2 linked regions of the Arabidopsis thaliana genome follow. The protein of the gene in region 2 interacts with the protein of the main gene of each other region in a biochemical or structural test. Each region holds a gene or a part of one and is shown on either strand. Other genes may lie near its edges.

Region 1 (4,278 bases), on a different chromosome or scaffold from region 2:
TTATCGACAAGGCAATCTACTGTCAGTAACTTCTACCTGGTGTACATTCTCTACCCGGCAAGGCATTGATGGACTAACCGGTGAGACAAATCCCTCTCTAGGCATCTTGACATTAGAACTAACCTGCATTGCTCATAGACCAAATTTCCATTGATTTTGGTTTGCGGTTATTTAGGTGTAGTGAGGAGGCAAATCATTCAGCTTTGGCAGCCACTAGCTCGTTCTAGAGATGAAGGCAACACATAGAGTACTGTACTGAGGCAAGAAGAGACAGTATAGGTGGTTGATGGCGATGGAAGCGGTTGATTGTGTCTAAACCTTTAAAGCAGTACCGGCTTGATTTGGTTTGAATTGAAGACTTCTTCTGCTGCATGATATGAACCTTAAAGTTGTCTTCTCTCATCTCTAATTTTCATGTTCTTAGAAACCTTTTCACCTTTTCATTTTGATGTTCTCTCATCTTGAAGACTTGAGAGGAATTTCCGAGTAGTGAGATCAAACCGAAGAAGACATTTTAACTTCATTCGCTTGTTTATTGCTTTTAGATCTCCACCTGTGCCTGAACTGTTTAAGGATTATAGTTGGTGTGTGTCAAGTCAAGTGTCTTAGCATTTTAAGAGTTACAGATCAGATGTGAAGTCGTACAACTGAAACAAAAGGCAAAACAAGATTTGATGCTTCATACAATTATACTCCATTAATCTTTCACTTTTACACACAATCACCCAATATGTAAACAAGACACAAACGACCAAACAAATAACAAAAACTAAAAAGAGTTGTTGAATCACACAAAAACAAAAGAAGAAGAAAGAAACAGAGATGAATTGTTACAAAGATACAAATTCAATAAAGGCTTAGAAACATCCACACGTTGCCTTTGGTACTACACCAGTGGCTCTATACTTAGCACCCATTTCTTCAGCTTTGAGAAGCTCTTCTCCTTTTTTAGCTTCAACCATTGCTCTCTTCTCTTCTGCTAACTTGTGGATTGCAGCTACTTTGTTCTTCATTTTCTCACCGTACTGCGCTTTTTTCTTCTCTAATTTTTCCTCGATCTTCCTAAGTTGAGCTTCTACGGCTGCTTTCTTGCTATTTTCCCAAGCATGCACATCAGAGATCTTCTTTTGTGCCCTGTCCATTTCAAGATCATCAGAGATCTGTAAGCAATAGTAATCTTTGGGTGAGAAGATGATGAAAGTTTACCTGTTCTCAGCCTTTGACTTCTCACTCTCTTCCCATGCTTTGATGAATGACGTTTTCTTCTCTTTTTCCAAGTCGGCAAGTATCACATCTGACCAAACACACACAACACACATTTGAAGTAAATTACTGAACTAAGTAACTAAGAAACTGGACATGAGAAACAAAGTGTTGTTATCAGCTGACCTCTATCGGCCGAACCAGATGAAGCTTTCTTAGGTGTATGCTCCTCGATGGGTTCTGCAAGAAGCACACTTATAAGTATAACACATGGATATTTGTTGCAAGAAGCTCACTTTTAACTAAGTTAAATTTTGTTGCTCTAATTGGCTAATAAGGTCATCAAAATAGTAGTTTATAAAACGAAACTCCACACAGAAGGAATTACAGATAGTAAATAAAGATGAACAAATGAATGTTCAAGGATTATAAAAACTGCTGGAAAGTTAGTACTTAATTGTTATTTTCCAAGAGTTAAGCAACTTTAAAGGAAGGAAAAAATGTAGGAATATTAAGAAAGTAACCCACTTTCCTTAATTCATAGCTGTCCACAACTAATTTGTCATGATTCCATACACTTTTTGATAACACTAATTACAGGGAACATTGCTTTACTATTAATCATATTTTAATAATATCATCCTCGAAAAACATAATTCTCTTGAAAATGCCATGATGAAGTTGTAAATTCTAACAGCGATGGATTTCACCTAAACAAATAGAGTATAGACCAAGTCATATGCAAAAGAACTCACAAAAACCTTAGGCATCTTAAGAAAATCCATTTGTTAATTGTAAATTGAAACCTTAGTTCCAAACGTAAGAATTCTGAATTACATACTATAATAATTCATCGTAAACATGAATGAATCCTCCTAAGTAGAAGATTAACATATATAAAACACACACGTATGTAAATAGAAAGCTTACTTTCTACAACGGCAAGAGCTTTGGACTCGACGGGAGGTGGATTATGAATTTTCTCATCCGCGACTTCCACCGGAGCAGGAGTCGGTTCCTTCGCCGGAGCTAAAACAGCCGGAGATTCTACGTCAACCTTACTCGTCTTTTGCTCCTCCGCCATTGTCTCTCAGCCGAAGAAGAAGAACAGATTTTATGTTTTTTCCGTGAAAATGGATAAAATTGAGATTTTAGGACAATAATGAGTTAAAGAGTTTTTATATCCTCCGTTAGCTTATACCGGTGGAGCGTACTACGCGCGTTTAATAAGTGTGAGACTCTTGTTTTGCTTCGCCGTTGATTTTTGTACCCATGTGATCGTGCGGCTGTAAAGCTCTCATACGCATTGGATGCGTTACACGTGATTAAACACACCTCACTGCCGACAAGTAAAGTGGTTCAATGATGCCACGTCACCTCTGTAGAAAATTTGTCCTCCCCTTCTTTTTTCCTGATATTCAACAAAACTTAATTCTTCCAATTATACCGAACTAAAATTTTGTTTACCATATAAATTGGTTTAAAATTGAAAATCAGATTTTAGCTGGGATTTTTTTATTATGAGAAAAACAACAATCAAACTACAATCAAGAAAATAAATGATCTATATTATTGCTAATCTTGGCTTAACTAAAAAGTTCGTATTAAAAAACTGAATCTAAATTTGGAGTGAGCTCGTATGCCTATAGAATTGACAGAGTGTCGGGTGTGTATTAAATCTATAATAAAATATCAATCACTCGAATTCATTTAAACAATTATTTTAGTTTTAAAATTTAAGTGGATCAAAGGGTGACGTGGAGCCTCACTGACTCGACACGCTGGAAGACAGATACAAAAAGGATAATGTCTGTGTCTCGCGCGTGTACAAAACTTTCCGGTTATGTGGCGCGTGGTATATGCAATTTAAACTGGTTTAAGCATGTGGTATATGGACTATGAGATGGAGACATCTCTTTTTGTAGGTGTTGGGCTTTTGTGAATCCTAATGGCCCAACGGGTTTTTAAATTTCCTGCCCAACTTGTTTTAATTTAAAGAAAGGTGTAATTTTTTTTCTAACAAAGCAATAAAGTAAATTAATTAAGGCTAATCACTAATCACAGACTCACAGTTTCGAACAGCCTGTGAAAGATGTATTAATGTATTTGTATAATAATAAAAAGTACTCTACAACATGGAATTATTTACGATTAATTATCTGTCTTGTATGATGATGAGTGGTCGAATATGGACTATGATGTCACTGACCTTTATTTAATGGGTTAAGGTTTATCTTCTTTCTTCTTTCTTCGAAGTTCGGATTCTTTTATTCAGTTTAAAGCACTTATAACAAACTTTCCCAAAGAGGACTTTAATTAATTGAACTCTTGCAGTTTTATTTTTGTAGTAAGCAGATTATTTTTCTAAGAACATCAAAGGTCTTGTATTTAGTTATTTACCAATAAATACAACGTTAATAAGAGACGATTATTTGGGAAACATTTGTGTATCACATATCAATGTCCATATGTGATTTGAGCATAGGAATACCAAATATGGATGACCAAATGTCTCCTACTAATTAATAAAATATTATCTATTTAATATTTAAAAACATTTTAACTCTTCGAAAAACTAAAAAGTAAACAAGATTCACACAAAAATATGAACGTCATTAACACAAAAGATGTGAACTCTGGTTAGTGTTGAAGATAACGTGAAACAAGATTCAAATCCTCGTGGAAGAGCACCAATCGATCACCAGAATCAAACCTTTGAGCTTCCTCCTAGCTTCGGTAACGTTTAATCTCACCTGATTCTCGTTTTTCTTCTCTTCCTGTTGAATGTTTGTGAACATAGATATATATAAAGCTGAGATAGATATAGATTCATGCTTCAACGGAAAAGCATGAAGAGGAACAACAACAATCTTCTAACGAACAAGAATAAGTATGTCTATCTTAAAACGGCGTCGCATCCAGCAAAAAGCATCGCTAAAGCTACTCTGTTCCTCGTCACCTCTCTCTTCATATCTGCTGGTCTCTTAGACTTATTGGGTTGTTTCGATTTCGTGAGTTCGAATCTGAAGTAACTTCTTTTTTAGAAACTTTTTATTCAATCAAGTGAATCTTGAA
Region 2 (4,935 bases):
TTGATTTAGAGAAAAAGAACACCTGACGTCTAAATTTGGATTACAAGCTAAAATAAAGTGAGATATAATATGTTTTATTAGATAATCGAAAGAACATCTGATTTGTTCATCAGAAAATGAATGCGAATAGCAATTGGGTCATGTCCTTAGATTGTTGCAGCGGTCTTCTCGATGATAAATAAGTTTACGACCAACCGCCTATAACAACCTCTAGTACCAATCAAACATAGATCCGAAACACACACGTTAAGCAACATATATACAAAAGTTAAAGCTATCCCAAGCTTAATTATATTGGTCGTGGTTTCTAATGTGAAGATCTTACTTGGATCCAAATGGTAAAAACACATGACCATAAAAAAAGAAACACCAAAATGGGTGCCAGAGACAAGGGATCTATAGAGACTATTTATGGAGAAATATGCCCCAAAGGAAGGGAACAAGAGTTGCCCATTTCCAGCTTTGCATTTATTCTTTCTTCCTCTTCCTTCTTTCTTCTTTTTATTTTCTTGCTTACTCTCTACACATCTACACATGCATAATGATGCATCCACTACTTCGTCGTATATTATAAGCATTTTTTTCTTGGGTTAAATATGTATATTCAAAGTTGCATTAGAGCATCGGCTTGTGCATCTCTTTTGGGAAGGATAGAATTGAACGTCATCGTTTCATCTATTCCCTTAGCTTCATTGCAAGGTTGAAAAATGGACCCAAAATTTGGTTTTAATTAACCGCCTTTTATGCATTTATATTTTTATTCTTTTTTACTATAAATTCATATGTATAAGTTTCAAATTTTATGTTTGTAACCTAAATTGTTTTCATTATCTATGAAATATTTATAATTTAGCCAAAAAAATTAGAGCATCGGCTTATAGTCATTAATAGGAGTATTTTGGGTCATAAAACTGATATATATTTATGGAACTGTTTAATGACTATAGTGGATTCAAATGTTACTAGTTGATTTGTATCTGGAAAAAAAAACCTTAGCTCTCTGATTCTTGAATTGTCAGATCTAGCTAACTTTCTGATTATAAAACCCCATATGTCTATGATATTGACTTATTTAGGACCCAATACATAAGAAAAAAACGCATATTCAAGTCTCGTTATCATAATAAATGGTGAATGTCGAAGGTTCGATTGCAATTTTCCCTTTGTTTAAAGACTAAAAAAGTTAAAAACGTAACTTTGTGCAGAAATTAAAATAATTAAAAGATATTCGAAAAGCTTTAAGGAAAAGGAAAAAAGGCCCACGTGGAGGCGCGAGAGATTAAAGGGACATCTATAAAATTTGACGGCGTCAAGTCAACGTGCAATTAAAAACACCGTCAGAGGTAAAAACGAAGTTAACGGAGATAGATAATATTACACGGCATCCCAGAATAGTTCCACTAATCTAATCCGGGACTCCTCATCTTCTGCCGTCGAATCGGCGATTCCTCCGACGACGACGTCAACACGTCATCATCTTCATCGTCTATCGGAGATGAAAGTGGCGAGGTGGAAAAGATCTCCACCGGAGATAACGGCGGAGACGAATCCGACGATTCAGTCGAAACAGTCAACGGCGGCGACGATTCAGGCGAGATAGTCAACGGAGGTGACGGTGGAGGAAGCGAAGAGTTAACGGAACTAGAATCTTCCGGAAGCTTCCGTTTGTTTCCGTTGGAAAGTTTAACGTCTTTAGTTAAATGACTTCTCAGACGTTTCACGTCGGCGAGTTTCACCGGTTTCAATAAGAAATCTTGAGCACCTTCCTCAAGGCATCTGTTCAAAAATCATTTTTTTTTTTTACAAAATTTTATCAAATCAATCAACAGTTTCTAAAAACTCCAAAATCTGTGAAGAAATCAACAAGAATCACACCTGTCGATTCTGGTCAATACATTCTCCGACGACATGATTACAACCGGAACTTCTCTGAAATTGGACGATTCCTGTTTCAGATGACCGGAAAATTCAACATTGTTACTAAAACAACCGTAATCTGAAACAGGAAAATGGCGGGAAAATGCAGACCTTAATCTTCTTGAGAAGCTCATAACCAGTCATTCCAGGCATACAGTAATCAGTGATGATCAAATCAACTTTCAATCTCTGAAAATATCCATTTAAACTAAATCAAACTCACGAATCGTAATCTTCAAAAAAAACAAAAAGCTGTATCAGATTTCAATAACTTACATCGAATTCAGCAGAAGCTTTCTCATTATCTAACCCTAGAAATTCCAGAGCACGCCATCCACTATCTACCGCCGTAACTGACAAACGATACCACCGGAGATGTAAATATTCCGGCGAGGAATAAAAAAAAGTGAAAGATGTTTTTTTTTTTGAAAAAATACGAACCTTTGCAGGAAGTAATACGAAGCAATCTCTCGATGACAATACGATCAACGAGACTGTCATCAACGGCTAAGACATGAACTTCATCTAAATCCAACGGCGCAGATTCAATTCCTCCGATACCACCGACGCTCATCATCTCCGACCTTCGTAAACAAGAAACACCACCGTCTCTGGCCATAGACGAGCTTATAGTAACTGTGAGGAGAGGATGAGAATAAAATAGAGAGAAGAAGACGAAGAAGAAGAGCTCACATCTGTTTTCTTTTGTTCCTTTCTCTTCCTTAAGACAGTTTTTTATATTTCTGATTTTTTTGTTCTCTAAAATAAATCTTTTATGAGTGTGTCTTTTTGGTTTTTTCAATTTTTATTTTGAAAAATCTCCAGCGAGGAAAATCCAACAAAATCTTTGGTTCCTATTAATGTGAAAATTATATATTTTTATGTGCCGTGCTTTTAGGGTTGAAAAAATTGAACTTTTATCTTTGAAAACAATAGTATTAATAAATAGAGATTTTATGGAAAATCCGGTGGAGGGCCTATGCGAATATCATAGAGAAAATAATATTCCTAAAATCGAATAAATAATAGAGGAGAAGAAATCCGTACAAAGGAATCCAAAAAATAAAAATATACCATCGTGAGATATATACAACTTCTTAGTCAAAATCTCGTCATTACTCATTAGTGTGATTGGAAAAAAAAAACTGAAAATGGAATCACTCACTGTTAAGAATAATAAACCAGAAGATTAAAGAAGCTAATTTTGGTCATACACCATTACAATTCATAGTAGCGTGTTTAAACTTAACCGGCTCGGTTCTTCGGATTGGTCTTATTTGTATTAAGTACTAACCACTAAGACAATTTTATATTGTTCCATGTGATTGGTCAGTTTCTAATTTAAAATTTATGGTTCAAATGCAATTCATAGAATAATATTAAGATCGGGTTTTGTGGGTTGACGAGAAAATTAGTATACGCCTAACTAGTAGTATATCCATCCATATGACTCTAGAAATTTTATGTTATCCAAACACTTTTATTTATATCGTTTTCAAATGGCAAAAAAAAAAAAAAGAAGAAGAGGAAAGTGGACAAATAATAATAAAAAAAAAGGATTTGACGTCCACATTAAAATTTGGATCCGCGGGACCCAGGGAAATCTAAAAGAGGGACCCATAAATATTTTGTTGGGAACAATTTGTATTAATGAAAGGGGGAATTGGACTTTACCTCTCTTCTTCTTTTTTTTCTTTAATCTTCCAAACATAATTTGCTGTTTCACTCTTTTAGACACCACACCGTATCAAATCTTGGAGATCGCTTTTGCTTTCTCTTTCCCACCCATTTATTATATTTTTTTATATAAAATATCATTATTATTTCTTTTTGTTGAAAGGGTAAATGTTTTGATTTTCTATTTTATTTTTAAAAATTTTATGAAAATGTTATGACAATATAGGTGTTTTTAAAAATCTCTTGATAATAAAGAGCTACTATTAAGAAAAAATAGGTATATAAACATGAGAACAATAAATATATATAATGATTCTTTGGCTCTTTATTTTTTCTAGAGAAACAAATTTATTCCAGATTGAATGTAAACTAAAGACGACCAAATCCAATACTATGACATTTTCCTACTTAAAGTTAAAGCTCAAAAGATCAGGTTTCAAGGTTGCTTAGAAGTTATCGATCACAGTCGTGGATGATCAAAGTAGAGTTTTATCAAAAGACTTTTGTTTCTTCTAATTGATAGTGTCTCTAATTTAATCGTTTTTCTACATTAACCAAAAACATCTAACAAAGTAGAAAGAAAAATGACGCGTGAAATAGACAAATCTTACAATGGATATATTGCCCATTTTTATAAAATAATTACGCGAAATTTAAGATTGATTTGAGAATTGATTTTTCAAACGATATGGGCCAACGAATGATGGATCAAATCTTCATGATGTCAACTCAAAATCGAGGGTTGAACAAAAAAATCCATAAAAGTAGTCATCAACGTGTCGCACATAAAATCGTAATCTATCTTTTTTCTAGGAACTTTGGACATCAATTACAAAATTAAAGACATTGACATTTTCCCTTTAATTAATTTTATGTTGGTACTCGATTGAGGTTTGGAGCATCTTTATATTCTAATCATTATTGTAAATATTTTCTACATAGTATAATATATTTGTAGAAATAAAAGTAATTGATTAGTTGACCTAATTATACAATACTCAAAATCATGTACACTTGAATATTTTCATTTTGACGTCTAGATTTTGTTACAGGATCAATGGATCATATAGAAACTCAATTTTAGTCTATACGTACATGGAAATATAGTTGAATCTCAAATCCGAAAATCCAGATTAATGTCAACATAAGCTCATATCTAATCTACAAAGCATTTGTTGGATAACATAGATTGGTCTTTCTCCTTCCTTGGTATCACTCTTATGTTGTCTGAGTTATATCTCCTATCCTATTGATTCTTAGACTTTTTTGTGAGCTAGTAATTATTCTCTTCCAAATTGTGCTCTCTAGCTTTATGTATCAAAAATTTCACCATCAATATGA

The links.
Region 1: the proteins of ARR4 (region 2) and AT2G45820 form a complex in vitro, tested with the Arabidopsis thaliana proteins (one study listed by BioGRID).

Annotation. Positions count from the first base shown.
Region 1 is NC_003071.7:18,862,290-18,866,567, forward strand, and holds AT2G45820 (Remorin family protein), read right to left. Parts: upstream 2,453-4,278; 5' UTR 2,288-2,452; coding exon 2,134-2,287; intron 1,444-2,133; coding exon 1,390-1,443; intron 1,295-1,389; coding exon 1,207-1,294; intron 1,135-1,206; coding exon 858-1,134; 3' UTR 664-857; downstream 1-663. Other genes in the region: AT2G45810 (DEA(D/H)-box RNA helicase family protein), read left to right, coding at 1-29; DTA2 (downstream target of AGL15 2), read left to right, coding at 4,035-4,214. UniProt on the Arabidopsis thaliana protein: Exhibits a non sequence-specific DNA-binding activity.
Region 2 is NC_003070.9:3,441,224-3,446,158, forward strand, and holds ARR4 (response regulator 4), read right to left. Parts: upstream 3,138-4,935; 5' UTR 2,537-3,137; coding exon 2,359-2,536; intron 2,271-2,358; coding exon 2,194-2,270; intron 2,107-2,193; coding exon 2,029-2,106; coding exon of another isoform or gene 1,947-2,028; coding exon 1,876-1,946; intron 1,777-1,875; coding exon 1,401-1,776; 3' UTR 765-1,400; downstream 1-764.